Oryctolagus cuniculus: one gene and its partner. The protein of the gene in region 1 interacts with the protein of each later gene in a pairwise test. Links are inferred from orthologs where the notes say so. Each region holds a gene or a part of one and is shown in the gene's direction. Other genes may lie near its edges.

What was found. The genes of interacting proteins can lie anywhere in the genome.
Region 2: the proteins of KXD1 (region 1) and CCDC185 interact in a two-hybrid assay, tested with the Homo sapiens proteins (2 studies listed by BioGRID and IntAct). The two-hybrid records come from large-scale screens. The link is inferred for Oryctolagus cuniculus from reciprocal best matches to the Homo sapiens genes KXD1 and CCDC185.

What each region holds. Positions count from the first base shown.
Region 1 is NC_091447.1:65,705,007-65,712,111, forward strand, and holds KXD1 (kxDL motif-containing protein 1), read left to right. Parts: upstream 1-2,342; 5' UTR 2,343-2,472; intron 2,473-4,190; 5' UTR 4,191-4,214; coding exon 4,215-4,315; intron 4,316-5,038; coding exon 5,039-5,191; intron 5,192-5,825; coding exon 5,826-5,872; intron 5,873-6,359; coding exon 6,360-6,586; 3' UTR 6,587-6,914; downstream 6,915-7,105.
Region 2 is NC_091444.1:37,691,796-37,698,752, forward strand, and holds CCDC185 (coiled-coil domain-containing protein 185), read left to right. Parts: upstream 1-2,547; 5' UTR 2,548-2,621; coding exon 2,622-4,478; 3' UTR 4,479-4,631; downstream 4,632-6,957.

The sequences.
Region 1 (7,105 bases):
GACTCTGCACGCCGGTCTCGCCTTTGGCTTGTACTTGGTCACTTACTTGAAAGGCAGAGAGAGGGAGAGAGAGAGAGAGAGAGAGGGAGGGAGGAAGACGGAGAGGGAGAGAGATTCAGCCCCAGACGCCCACAGTGGCTGGGGCTTAAACCAAGAGCTGGGTGCTCAGGTGAGGCTCCCGCGTGTGCTGGGCGGCCGGGGGGACCCAGTCACCCTGCATCCTCACTGCCACCCCTGGGGTCTGCGCAGGCAGGGCCGGGGCCAGGAATCAGACCCAGGAGCTCCCCGGTGGGCGTGGGCATCGTGGGCACCGGCCTTGATGCCGGCCCGTCCCTGCCTTTTACCGCCAGTATTTGATCTATTTACAGTTGATGTAATTTTGGACACATTTGGATATAAACCTTCACCACTCTGTGTTCCTGTTTCCTAAGATTTAGTTATTTGAAAGGCAGAGTGAGAGAGGGATCGATCGATCTTCCAATCACTGGTTCACTTGACAGACGGCCAGAGCTGAGCCAGGCCAAAGCCAGGAGCCAGGAGCTCCATCCGGGTCTCCCACACGGGTGCAGGGGCCCAAGGACCTGGGCCGTCCTCCACTGCTTTCCCAGGCCACAGCAGAGCTGGATGGGAAGTGGAGCAGCCGGGACTCGAACCCGTGCCTACATGGGATGCTGGCACCACGTTGGCCTTCTTTAGGGACGAATGGGGGTATCTGGTACGACTCCCGAGAGCTTCCTGTATGGCCAGGGAAACGGAGGCATGGCGTAGCTTGTTCAAGGTCGCGGCCATGGAGGGCAACGTGGGCCAGGTCCCCTCCCTGGCCAGGGTGGCCAGTGGCTGAGCCCACCCGGGGACACGCGTGGAGCAAACGCAACCAAAACAGGGCGGAGGAGGGGGCTGCGAGTGCCCTCCCATGGGTCTCTCCTGCTGGACGGGGCGGCCCTGCGCTCACCACCCTCTCCCGTAAACACACAGGACACCAGGACATTTCGTCTCCAGTCCTCGGGGCCCCCAAGTCCCTCTGTCCCTACCCGTCTGGGGCTCCCAGAAACGTGCCCCGGCCTCTGGCAGGGCCCCCTGCGGCAGCCTGCACACGGCCATGGATCGAGCAGCTTCCCCCAGCAGGGCCCCTCTCTCAGCTCTTGGCCGCCGCGGGCTCACCGAGCCCCCCCCCCCTTACAACGGTCAAGCCCACACCGTGTGGTTTCCCATCATCGTTTCTTACAGCCCCAAGTCACGTCCACTGCCTGCAAAACTCCTACTCCAACCTCAAAACCCCAGCTAGATGGGGTTTGCCTCCCCGCAACCTCCCTTGCTCCCAAAACGAGCGCTCACAACGGCTCAGGTTCCTGCGCACGGAGGGTCCTTCCTATTCTTTACAAACACAGAAGCCCCGCGAGGCTGGGGGCGTCTGCCTCTGACTCTATCTCCTTTTTCCTTCCAGGCCTAAGCAGGACCTAAGTGGTCCCTGGGGTCCCAGAACACGGGCCACACCTGGCGGGAGGGAAAGTCTTTAAAAACTGTCAAACTCCGTAAGAATCCTGGTCCCCGGGGCTTTTCAGCAGAGGCGGCAGTAACAACGTAGCCAAGACGCCCGCTGGGAGCCTGGATCCCAGATCTGAGAGCCGGGGTCTGCGACCCAGCTTCTTCCCACCGGTGCGCACGAGCCAGGAGCTCCATCCGGGTCTCCCACGCAGGTGCAGGGGCCCAGCACCTGAGCCATCCTCCGCTGCTTTCCCAGGCCATAGCAGGGAGCTGGACCGGAAGTGGAGCAGCCGGGACTCGAACCGGGGCCCATAGGGAATGCCAGCGCTGCAGGAGGCGGCTTTACCCGCTATGCCACAGCGCCGGCCCCCCAAAAATTCTAAAAATTATTTTAAAAAATCCTTGTTGGGGGGCCGCGTTGTGGCGCCCGCACCCCAGGCGGCGGCGCTGGCTTCAGTCTCTGCAGCTCGGGACCGGTCCAGCCCCGGGCTGAGGGCCTGGGGGCAGCATGCCGGGCCCTGCACCTGCGCGGGAGATCCGGATGGAGCTCCCGGCTGCGGCCTGGCCCAGTGTCCATCTGGGGAGTGACCAGCGGATGGAAAACCTCTCTCTCTCTGCCTCTGAAGTACATAAAAAAAATCTTAGGAAAAAGTTCTTAAATGCTAAGATCATTCAAAGCGACGGGAGCCTGGGAGCTCTCACGGACTGGGGGAGACTGCGGACATCAGCCCTGGACATACCTTCCGACCTAACCCCTTCCGGCGGCTCAGCCGCGCGGACTGCGCAGGCGCACGAGAGCCCGTTTGATTGGACGTGGGCTGTGACGCAGGGCGAGCGAGCCCGCCTCTTCCTGCCGAGCCCCCACCACGCACGCGCGCACGCACGTCGGCCCCAGAGTGCGCCGCCGCCGCGAGCGCCCGTGCGTGGTGACGTCGCGGCGGCGCGGACGCCATCCCGGAAGCGCGAGCGAGGCTGCCAGATGTGCAGGTGCCGCCGCCGCCTCCGGGGCTGAGCTTGGGGCGGGGCGGGGAGCGGGACGCCGGGGCGGCGGGGAGCCGGGCCGGGTCGGGCGCCGTCCCCGGGCTGCCCGGGGTGGGGCGCGCCGTGCGGGGCGCGGGCGTTGGGGCCACCAGCGTTCCGACGGTGCGGTGTGACCTGGAGTTGGGCGTTCACCTGCCGGTGCCTCAGTTTCCCCGCTTCGTGTGGGCGGAGCCTGCGGGTGTAGACCCAAGCCCCGCCCCACCCGGGCTGTCTTTACCGGGGCGCGGAGTGGGGAGTTCAGCCGACGGTGTGGGCGACCCTCGCAGGGGTGGCTGGGAATTCAGTGCGACGTTGTGCAGTTAGCTCCGCCTCTTGCAGTCACGTGGGATGCCCTCAACAGGCTGGACCCCGTGGGGAAACACCTGCTCCAAGCTCCGCCCACAATCCACCTTGCCTTCACCGCCCCCCATTCCCATTTCCTGGATGAGAAAACTGATCCCTCCCTCCCCCACTTGAAACCGGGGCCCTTGCTGCGTGAGTTCCCTTTGGGATGTGCAGCCCGGAAGGCTTCCTGAGAGAGGCAGCCAGCGACAGGCCCGGGGTTGGAGCCTCTGCCCTGATCCCCGGACAGCGCGTGGGTGGCCCTGCTCTGCAGACAGTCCTAGCGCGTGTCCAGGGGCGGCGAGCCACCTGCCGGGGTCAGGGCGCGAGCAGTCCTGGCTCCCGTGATGTTTTGGATAAAAAGAATTCCTGGCTAACAGTGGCAAATAAGGCGATTTCATGGGGAAAAAATTGTTTTTATCAGCTGTCGTAGGAAGCAGCTGTCCCCCCGCCGTGGGCGGGGCCCGTCAGACGCACGTGCACCTGGGTGCTGCCCAGGGCCGCGGCCGCTCGGACCCTGGCCTGGGCTCGGGGGCTGTGTGACCGCCGAGCGCAGTGAGCGTGTGCCACATACAGTAGGCGCTCAGTAGGTGGATGCTGTGGGCTCCGAGTCTCGGCCAGCTGTAAATGGGGCTGTCTGTCATCTCGCGCGTGGGCCTGGCGGCCAAGCTATGCCAAGGTTCCAGATTTTTCCTGACCCTCCCACCCCCGCCCGCCGCTGCTGGGCCTCGCATGGTCTGGGAGGCCCAGCCCACTGGGGTGGGGTCCTTCGTGTGCCCGTGAGAGCGGGCACTGTCCAGGACGTCTGGGTCGTGGGGCTCCCAGTGCCTGGGACTTGCTAACAACAGGCGAACCCCGTCAGAGCCGGGTCTGCAGGGGCCGGCCCAGAGACCCCGGCGGGAGGGAGAAGGCGGCGGCGGCTTCCCTCCCCAAATGGCCACAATGGTCAGGGCTGGGCCAGGAGCCAGGAGCTCCATCCGGGTCTCCCACGCAGGTGCAGGGCCTAAGCACTTGGGTCATCTTCCGCCGCTTTCCCAGGCCACAGAGAGAGCTGGATTGGAAGTGGAGCAGCCGGGACTCGAACTGGCACCCACATGGGATGCGGTTGTCACACGTGGAGCCCTAACCCCTTGCTCCACGCCGCAGACCCCGCCCCCCCGTGGGGGCGACCCGATGAGGCAGCCTTGCCGCACGTGTTCTGTGGGGGCAGCAGGTGCAGAGGCGGGGGTGGGGGCTGGGAGGCAGCAGCAGCAGCTCCGTGCAGGCGCCCGGGACCCCGGGAAGCCGTACCGATCCAGAGCGCGCCGGAGCCCCCTGCAGTCTGTGTTTCCCGCCTGCTCCAGGCCGCGGAGGAGGAGGAGGAGGACATGGACGCCCCCGACTCGGCCTCCGGGGTCTTCTGCAGCCGCGTCCTGAGCATGGTGAACGCCGAGGACGTCAACGCCATCATCCTGGCCCAGAAGAACATGTGAGCCCCGGCTGGGCGGGGCGGGGCGGGGCGGGGCGGGAGCCCACTCCGGCCGCGCTCCTGATGCAAACGCAGGGAGCTGGATCTGCCTGCTGGCTCCCCTGGCCTCCTCCCTGGCCGGGCTCCTGGGCGGGGAGGCGGGGGGACGGCGGGACCAGAGGCACAGAGCTGTGTGGCGAGCCCCCCGGGGTCTCTTGGGGAGGGCGGCGGGACATACCTGCCTCCCACAGGCGGGCTCGGAGCCTGCCACAGCCTCACCCCGATTCCAGCTGCCTTGCTGGGGAGAGGAGGACCGGTGCATCCTGGGAGTGATTTATTTTCGTTCATTTGAAAGGCAGAGTGACAGCCAGAGGGGGAGAGGAGGTCTTCCCAGGGTGGTGGAGACCCATGCACGTGGGCCATCTTCCCCTGCCTTCCCAGGCCACAGCGGAGAGCTGGATGGGAAGTGGAGCAGCTGGGACTCGACCCGGCGCCCACACGGGATGCTGGCACTGCAGGCGGCCGCTTTACCCGCCACGCCACAGCGCTGGCTGCAGACTTGACCCTGGGGAAGCTCCCAGACGGGGCGTAGACAAAACAGGACACAGACCCCCACGGCGCCACATGCCAGGGCTGGGCCAGAGCACCCTGAAGCTGCCAGGGCCCCAGGGGCAGGCAGCGCCGTCACGGGACACCCTTACTGGGGCGCTGAGGACTGAATAGGAGCCTTCTCTCTGGCGCCAGGCTGGACCGCTTCGAGAAGACCAACGAGATGCTGCTCAACTTTAACCAGCTGTCCAGCGGCCGCCTGCAGCAGATGGGCGAGCGCTTCCTGCAGCACACGCGCGCGCTGGGCGAGATGAAGCGCGACCTGGACAGCATCTTCCGCCGCATCAGGTGGGCGCCCAGCCCTGCGCCAGCATCCTGGCTTTTTTTATTTATTTATTAATTAATTGGAAAGGCAGAGTTAGAGAGAGAGAGGTCTTCCCTCCGCTGGGTCACTCCCCACATGGCCGCCATGACCAGGGCTGGGCCAGGCTGGAGCTGGGAGCCAGCAGCTCCATCCGGGTCTCCCACGCGGGTGCAGGGGCCCCAGGGCTTGGCCACTGTCCACTGCTTTCCCAGGCCACAGCGGGGAGCTGGACCGGAAGAGGAGCTCCCTGACTGCGTGTGAGCTTGGCTGCCTGGGCAGCAGGGGGCGTGGCGGGCAGCAGACCCCTTTGCCACTCTGTACACAGACGGGCACAGGCTGTCAAGGCCCCGGGGGGCCGGCGCTGTGGCCTTCAGGCGAAGCCAGGGCCCGCAACGCCGGCATCCTGGCATCCCGTCCGGGCGTAGGTTCGAGTCCCGGCTGCTGCACGTCCGATCCAGCTCCCTGCCCACGCACCTGGGGTGGCCGCGAGAGCCGGGCCCTGCCACCGGGCGAGCGGAGCCGTCGCGGCCACTGGGGGCGTTCAGGGACCGGGAGGCCCGGGAGGCCGCCGGCCCCGCCCCCGGCAGCCACGCGCTCTCCCTCCTGTCCCGCCCGCAGGACGCTGAAAGGGAAGCTGGCGCGGCAGCACCCCGAGGCCTTCAGCCGTGAGTGTCCCCGGGCGGGCCGGGCCGGGGCGGGGCGGGGCGGTGGGCAAGGGGCCTCCCAGCGGCACCGCTGCCCCAAGGCGGAGCCTCACCGGGTCCCCGCGACCCCCAGGCAGGGCCGCGCTGCGAGTCTCCCCATTTCCCAGCCGGGACAACGGAGGCCCAGGGGCCCGGCCTGAGCTCACCGCTGCGGGCTCGCCCTCGGCTGCCACCCCACGTGGCTGCCAGCCCACCGCGAGCCCCGAGCGAGCCCCGGGTACCTCTGCAGAATGGGCCCGTGACAGGCACAGAGCAGGGAGCGGAGTCGGGCAGGGGCGGTTCCCGGCCCAGGGCCCAGGGGCCAGCATGAGGACAGAGCCAGGCGCGCCCCCAGGGCCCGTGCCCTCGCCCCGTCACAGCCTGGGCCTCCCCCCTCCCCCGGAAGGTGGGCGGGGCCGTGGCCGCGGTGGGCGGGCCGTCGGGGCCCCACCTCCGCCTCCTCTCGCAGACATCCCCGAGGCCTCGCTCCTGGAGGACGAGGAGGAGGACCCCATCCCGCCCAGCACCACGACCACCATCGCCACCTCGGAGCAGAGCTCCGGCTCCTACGACACCAGCCCCGACACCGTCTCGCCCTCCCTCAGCCCCGGCTTCGAGGACCTGGCCCACGCCCGGCCCGGCTCCCCCGCCCTCAACGGCCACAGCCAGTCCGAGGAGGAGCCGCAGGGCCAGTAGCCCCGCGCCGCGGGCGGGCGGCCCGGGCTGGCGGGACAGCCCCGCCCCGGGGCCGCAGGACCCCCGCAGCACGTCCGCGGACCCCTGCGGCAAGCCCCAGAGGCCACAGCCCGATGCCCGGGCCAGGACCCCCACGGCGGGGGAGCAGCTCCCACCCCACCCCACCCCTTTAACAGAGCTGGACGTTCCTCCCGTGGGCGGGGGGCAGCAGGATGGAGCCCCGGCCTGGCCACCCCGGCCGGCAGAGCTGAACGGAATATTTTTGTACCCGATGTTCACACGCCGTTGCGAAGTTATCAATAAAGAGAGGCCGCGACTGCAAAGGGAACATTGCGTCTGGCTCCCGCGGGTTTTCCATCTGGGCCTGGCAGGTGCACCAGAGCCCCCGGCGTGGGGGGGGGGGGCTGGAGGCGCACACGCACTGGCTGCTCTGGGTGGGGGGCTGGCTGCCCGCAGCGCCCGGGGTCCCATCGGCTCCTTGGGCCTCGCAGGTGCTGTTCCCACTGCCAGCGACACGGT
Region 2 (6,957 bases), on another chromosome or scaffold:
TTCTCAGCTAGAGATGTGCCAATGGGTGCTGTAGAGACCCCATCCTGGCAGAGCGGCCCCTTGGGATGGCCCAGTCACTGTAGCTAAGGCTGCCAGCTACCAGGTGGCTTCAAGGACATGGTGATGGTGACCCACTGACAAACAGCTGATCGTAATTTTCTTAAAAGCCTATCTCAATCCAAAGTGCATTTCCCAAGAGGCGCCATGATATGGAAAGGGAAGGGAATCCAGAGTCAGAAGCCCAAAAATTGACCCAGGGATGTTTAGTGACGTCAGTTAGTATGGCCGCATCACAGAATGGTCCTAGGGAAAGTGTTATTGGTCCTACTGGCCCTGCCTAGCCCGGCACTGCTGTCAGAGATGTGAGTGATCAGTAAATACTGATTCCTTCTCTAAGGAGCAGTCATGCTGGAAGAATGCTGTCCAGAGCTTTCTTCATTCCCATCTTAGTTCACTCGGAGCTGCTGTAACAAAATGCCACAACTGGGCGATGTATAAACAAGCATGAGAAAGCAGGCTGGGAAGGTCAGGGCCCAGGCACGGCAGGTGTGGTGTCCATCAGAGCCCCCTTGCTGGCACACACACAGCAAATTTCTCACTGTCATAGCATGGCAAAAGGAATGAGGGTGCTCTCCAGGGTCCCTTTAAAAAGGGCATTAATCCCATGGATGAGTATTTTACAAACTTTTTTATTTATTTGAAAGGGAGGCAGAGACAAATAGAGATCTTCCACCTATTGATTCATCCCCTAAATGCCCACAACAGCCAAGGATGGGCCAGGCCAAAGCCAGGAGCCCAGACCACAAACCAGATCTCCCACACAGGTGGCAGGGACCCAGGTTTCTACCTTCCAGGGTGAGCGTGAGCAGACAGCTGGATCAGAGGCAGAGCTGGGACTTGAGCCCAGGCACTCTGATATGGGATTCCAGCGTCCCAAGCAGGGTTTTGACCACTGTGCCATCCGCTGTCCCAGGGCCCCACCTCTTAACAGCTTGATGTCAGTGATCAGTCTTCAACACATGAAGCGTGGAGGGGAGTAGGCATCACCATTCAGAACATAGAAGCCACAGAGAAGGAAAGTGACTTAGCCAGGATCCAGTGTGGACACGACAGAGCCTGCCAGTCGCCCCTCTTTAGCACGCCATCGTTAACCTCAAGTTATTTTTTTTAGGATTATGTTAATTCTATTTGTCTTTTCTTAAGCTTAGAGTCTATAGAAATTTGTGGAAATCCATATAGTTAAGTCTTCAGACTTTGAATCTAAGCCTAACTGGACGGCTCCATCAGCCCTCAGCAGCCTTGGAGAGCCACCCAACCCTCCCACTCTACCCTTCCAAAACTGGAGGGTCAGGAAGCTACTTACCCCACATCACACAGGTAGCAGAGGAGGTTCAAACACCTGTGCTTCACCGAGTCCAGCGCTCTTCCAGCGAACCCTGGGTGCCATGGAAAGGAAAAAAGAGTCTGAGAAAAAGCCTGAGAAATGAATGTGATTTCCTCGTGGCGCTGGATGTGGGTGAGTGTCTCACACAGACAAGCATTCTATGTGCACACACATAGAAGGTATGCAGGGTGACAGATTCACTCAGAAGGTGAGAAAGTGAACACACAGGTGTGAGCATGGGCTGCCCCACAGAGAAACTCCCAGCGCGAGTGGGCAGTGGGCTGGAGGACCGTGGGAAGAGAGGACACCTGTGCAGCACCTCTAGCTGGGGGGGCTCCCCCCCAGGTGGCCTCTTTTGTGAGGTAGGAAGGGGGCCTCTGCAGGTGAGAAGCCATCTGGGAACGCTATGGGACCTTCACACACCCCACGTGGAGCTTAATCTCCATATCTTCATGCCGGTCCCGGTCCCGTCCATTAGATCCTGGGACAGGAGGTGGTTTGATTGACAAGTAGGAGGACATGGGGGCTTCCAACTCACCCTGGTTACCGCATCGGTGCTCACTGAGGCTACTTCAGAATGAGCACACGGCGTTTATATTTGTACAAAAGCAGTCATCGCTATACAAGGGGGAAAATTCGCCTTTTTCCTGCTCTCATGTTTAAGAAAGTCAACACTGAAGCGTAGTTTGCGCTGGCGCCTGACTTAAAACGGTGGTGCGTGTATTAATTAACGTGATTTCTCGGCGGCTTCATCCGAGTGCCTTGTAGCTCTGCGCGAGGAAGGGACAGCGACTCAGGGGAGGCCTCCACTCCCACCCCCTACCCCGGCCCTTTGACCTCCCCCGCCCCCACCGCGCTCTCCTCTGAGGGTGGCCCTTTCACCCAGGCTCTCTTAACGACTACTTTAGAGCGTGCAAACGCGCATGCAGCTTCCCGCCTGAAGCTCCGTGGTAGTGGTGGTGCCATTGTGCACCCTCTGGTTTCCTACAAATGCCACCCTTGGTTTTCTACAAATTCCTCTGCCCCTTGAATTCTGCGCGGCGCTGGCCAGGTCCAGGGCGGGTGGCGCGCTGCCTGAGCCGAGGGCTGCGGGGACCTGGTGGTGCCAGGCGCATTGTGAAGTGGCGGGAGCGTCACAGGCGACCTGGTCCCCGGGAGCGGAGGGCGGGGCCGGTGCCGCAGCGACCCTGGGAGCCCCGGGACCCTGGCACAGACGCACGGCGCGCCCGGAGGGAGCATGGCGGGCTTCAGCAACTTCACCTCGCCGCCCTATCGCGACCTCTGGGAGCCGCGGCCACCCCGCGGAGGACGCGCGTCCCCGGCGAGGTTGGGCGGGCCGGGACCCGGGGCCGAGCCGGCCCTGGACTCCTGGGCCAAGACTGCGGGCGCCGAGAGGGAGGCGGCGGCCCCCTGGCTGCACCGGAGCTCCTCACCATCAGCGCGGACTCGCGGGCGCGCGTACTGTGCCTCACCAAGGGAAAGCCGCAGCCTCACCGACGTGGCGCCGAGGCCGCTCGACCGCGCCAGGATGCACCCGCCCCGCAGCCGGCGCCTAGAAGAGGCCTGGAGCGAGACCCGGAGCAAGTCCAGCGCGGCCTGGCCACAGCCATCCCCCCTGCAGCCCCAACAGTCGCAGCCCTTCCCGCGCTACACCCCGGCCCAGGGGGACTCGCCACCGCCGTACCCCGAGGGCGCTTACACTCTCGCGAGCGTGGCACCGAGTGGAGACCAGTGGGCAGCAGGGGTCTGCGGCCACGAGGGTCTCTGGTCCTCTTCCCCAGTTCCCACGGAGAAGTCTTTTGCGCCCTCCCAGGAGTTCGGGACGCACTCGGCCTGTGTGCGCCCTCAAAAGAGGGACAGTAGCGAGCGGGTGGAATCGGCGGGTAGTCCGGGCTCGCAGCCCTCGGCGTCCAGCAGAGACACGCAGAACCAGCACAGCCAGGCGCTCACCAGCACCCTGCAGGAGGCGGTGATGTCCTCGCGGGACCAGAAGATCGTGGCCCTGGTGCTGACCCGACTCAAGAAGGCGCAGAGGATGCGGGAGCTGCAACAGCAGGCGGCAGTCGCGTGGGAGGAGCTGAAGCTCTCGGACCAGAAGGTCCAGGTGACCCTGGAGCGGGAGCGCCAGCTGCTGCTGCAGCGGAGCCAGGAGCAGTGGCAGGAGAAGGAGCCGCGCAAGACTCGCCCGGGCCGCGAGCCCCACGGCCGGCGGCGCAGCAGCCCCGGGAAGAACGCGCCCCCGGCGGAGAGCCGCTGGAGGGCGCCGCCCGAGGACCAGGAGAACCAGCGCCAGGAGAAACCGGACGGCGCGCGCGCCCTGGCCGAGCAGCGCAAGCAGAGCCAGGTGCAGCGCCTGCGGGAGCAGGAGAGGCAGGCGCAGCGGCTGCGGGAGCAGAGCGGCCTGCAGCTGCAGCGGAGGCTGGAGGAGGCCTCCCACAAGAGGCACCTGCACGCCGCCGAGGGCCAGAAGAAGGTCCAGCAGACCAACTTGAGCTCCCTCGTCAATTACCAGGCTCGCAAAGTGCTCCTGGACTGCCAGGTCAAGGCCGAGGAGCTCCTCCGGAAGCTGTCGCTGGAGCAGAGCTGCCAGCGGTCTCAAGAGGTCCAGCAGTGTCTGATTAAGGAGCGGTACCGGGAGCTGAGGGAGAAGGCCCGGAAGGAGGCAGAGCAGTTGCAGCAGGTCAGGTGGCGCGCGGGAGAGGCCGAGGAGCAGACGAAGGCGCGCAAGAGGGTGCTGGTGGAGCTGGCCGACCAGAAGATCCGGCAGGCCAGGAGCCACGCGCACAGGACCGCCAGGGACAAGGCGCAGCACCTCCGCGAGCTCAACGCCCTGCGGGAGAAGAACCACCTGGTCCTGAAGCTGAGAGCCGAGAAGGAGGAGAAGTCCCACGTCGAGGGCATCAAGGAGGCCATTAAGAAGAAGGAGCAGCGGATGGAGCAGATATCCCGAGGGAAACAGCTCGCCTCCCAGGACTTCCCGAAGGGCTCTGGGGCCCCCAGGGGGAGCGACTCGAGAGAGCTCCAGGACAGCCGCTTCGATCGGTTGGCACCAGAGGCGCAGCTGCGCGTCGGGTCGCAGAGGGGGCGCTACTGAGCACAATCCGAGGACCATCCGCTTGCAGCCCCAGCAGCCAGAAAGACACGTGACCATGCGGCTCATTTTATAATCTGATTATAACTGAGCATTGATTTTTTTAAAAGTACATAAAATAGCTGCAATTTCCTCTCATGAGCTAGTTTATTGATTCACTTAGATAGTGTAGCGGGTTGGGGAGCGAAATCGGCGCGTTTTTAAGAAAAGTAGTTGGCTTTGCAAATTTGAATTTGCATAGAAAATCTTCACTGAGCTCTCCAGCGCTCTTGGAAGCACACGGTAGACACAGAGAAGAATCTGCCGTCTGGGAGGCAGTTCTGTGTCCTGTTCTGGTCTTTTCCTATCCTAGAGGGTTGCAAGAAATTTCCAAGAAAACAAGATAGGGCTGTGGTGGGAGGATTTGGGATTCCCTCTTGGTAGTTCACAAAGCCACTGTAAAATTTTAGAACTCTGAAAAGGCCTGCAGTTAAAACAAAACAAAACAACAACAAAAAAAAAACTTACTCGTTTAACCTAGTGTTTGTTGCAAAACATGGGACATGGAACTGATGTTCTGTGAACCATGCTTGGAAAGGTGGCTCCACAGATCTCCGCAGATTGTAAACTCCTTTGGCTGTGCCTCCTTGGATAGACAGCAAGTGTGGACGATTCCATCAGTGCCACTGGCGTCCATTGGCTTGGAGTTCTGTTCTTTTGATCAATCTGTTCAGTCTTATGCAACAACATTCCATTAGAATCTTCCTCTTCCCCTCTCTTGTGCCTCTGAAGAAGGCATGTGACGTCATTCTGCCCGTGTTGTGCCTAAGTAACCTAACCTGGCTGGGAAGGAAGAACGAAACGTGACTCAGCAGCACGGTGTTTTAAAAACCAGGAACGCACAAACGGAAATTAAGCCATCATATCTTCTATCTTAGAGTCCTATGGAAAATCTCTGTGCTCTCTTTAAAAAGCCCCAGATGTAACGTGTGTGTGTGTGTGTTTGTGTGTGTGAGAGAGAGAGAGAGAGAGAGAGAGAGAGTGAATACGCCCCACTGGCAGATCTTTGTTCCACCTGCAACTGTGAAGCTGCATTAGGGGTAGGTAGCCTGACTCGGGGTTCCGTGCCAGGTCGGTGTGAGGTCCATTTTCTCAGCCCTTATGATGGAACCAGGCCCTCTTCCCCGTTCTGTTCTCTCCTCCTACCTGGGACCCCTCTACCTGCTAGCCCTACGGACTCCTATTGGAGGGCCCTCACTCCTTTGCTCAAAAATGTTCAAGGATACCTCTTGCTCAAAAAACGTAAGGGCTCACATATCTCACCTCCATTCCCAGCCTTGCTCTCTCCTTGACCAAGTTAGTGCTCTGTTCTAGCCAAATGCAATGTGCAACCCCGGGTATTCTAGGGTAATGCTTACGCTGTTTAGCCCAGCCCTTGGTATGACTCTAGGTGCTCTTTCTCAATATACCTGTGTGGGATTCAAGAAGTTAGCTCTCTGAACCTGAGCATCCTCTTCTGTAAAATACAAAGGCACATTCTAGGGATGATTAAAGAAAACAATCCGTGCTAGGAGTTTGGCATGTTGCCCAGCGCTTAATGGAGACCCTGTAATCGCATTCTGTGGCTTTTACTGTTACCAGTACTGAGCCTGTGTCTGTGCCAGGCCCGAGCTCCCCTATGTGGACACCTTTTCACTGGCTGTCTCCTTGCAGCATAGCCAACTCTGGCTTCTCTGAGCCCATTCCCATTCTGCCTTTTCCTGGCCACCCACCCTGACGTCCCTCTCCTCTGAGAAGCCGCACAGCCTGGTGAGCACTCGCCAGTTGCTGCTTCGTTGTGGATGTCCATTTTGCAGCCCACAACGTGGCTTCCTGAGTAGACTGCATCCTGCCTGAGGCCAGGATCATGATGTGAGCCTTTTTTACTCATGCCTCAGATGGTGGGCAAAGGACAGTGGGAATCAAAGCCACTGAGCAGCACGTTTTGACCCCACATCTGCATACTGGGCCTTTTACCCGAATGGTCTTTGCTCCAAGGACCACAGAACATCATTCTTATATCCAACCCTTTATACATATTACCCATAGAAGTAATTACACATCACTTCTCAGCCTTTGGGCTAAAATCAAGTATAGAAGTAAGTACACAAAATGAAGCTGACAGAAGTGACATAGACCAGCTTTTCCCTATCCTTCCCTTAATTGCAACAAAAACCCCTGAACATTATACATGAAACAAACAGGAGAAGGCTTTGGAAGGTGGAGAGAGGCTGATGGATGCTCTCAATACCCAAGGAGCCACACGGTGGTTTGGTTTCTTTTTTGCTGCACATAGGCCAGATCTAGAATTGAAGCAACTCACAACCTCAAAACACGAAGTGTAGACAAAAAAGTTCCAACAGAAGCCAATGGAAGCCTGTTCTCTCCAGCCGAAGGACCAGGAAAAAGCAGCCCAACAAGCTGGAAACCATTTAGATAATAACTTCTCTACAGCAGCCAAACA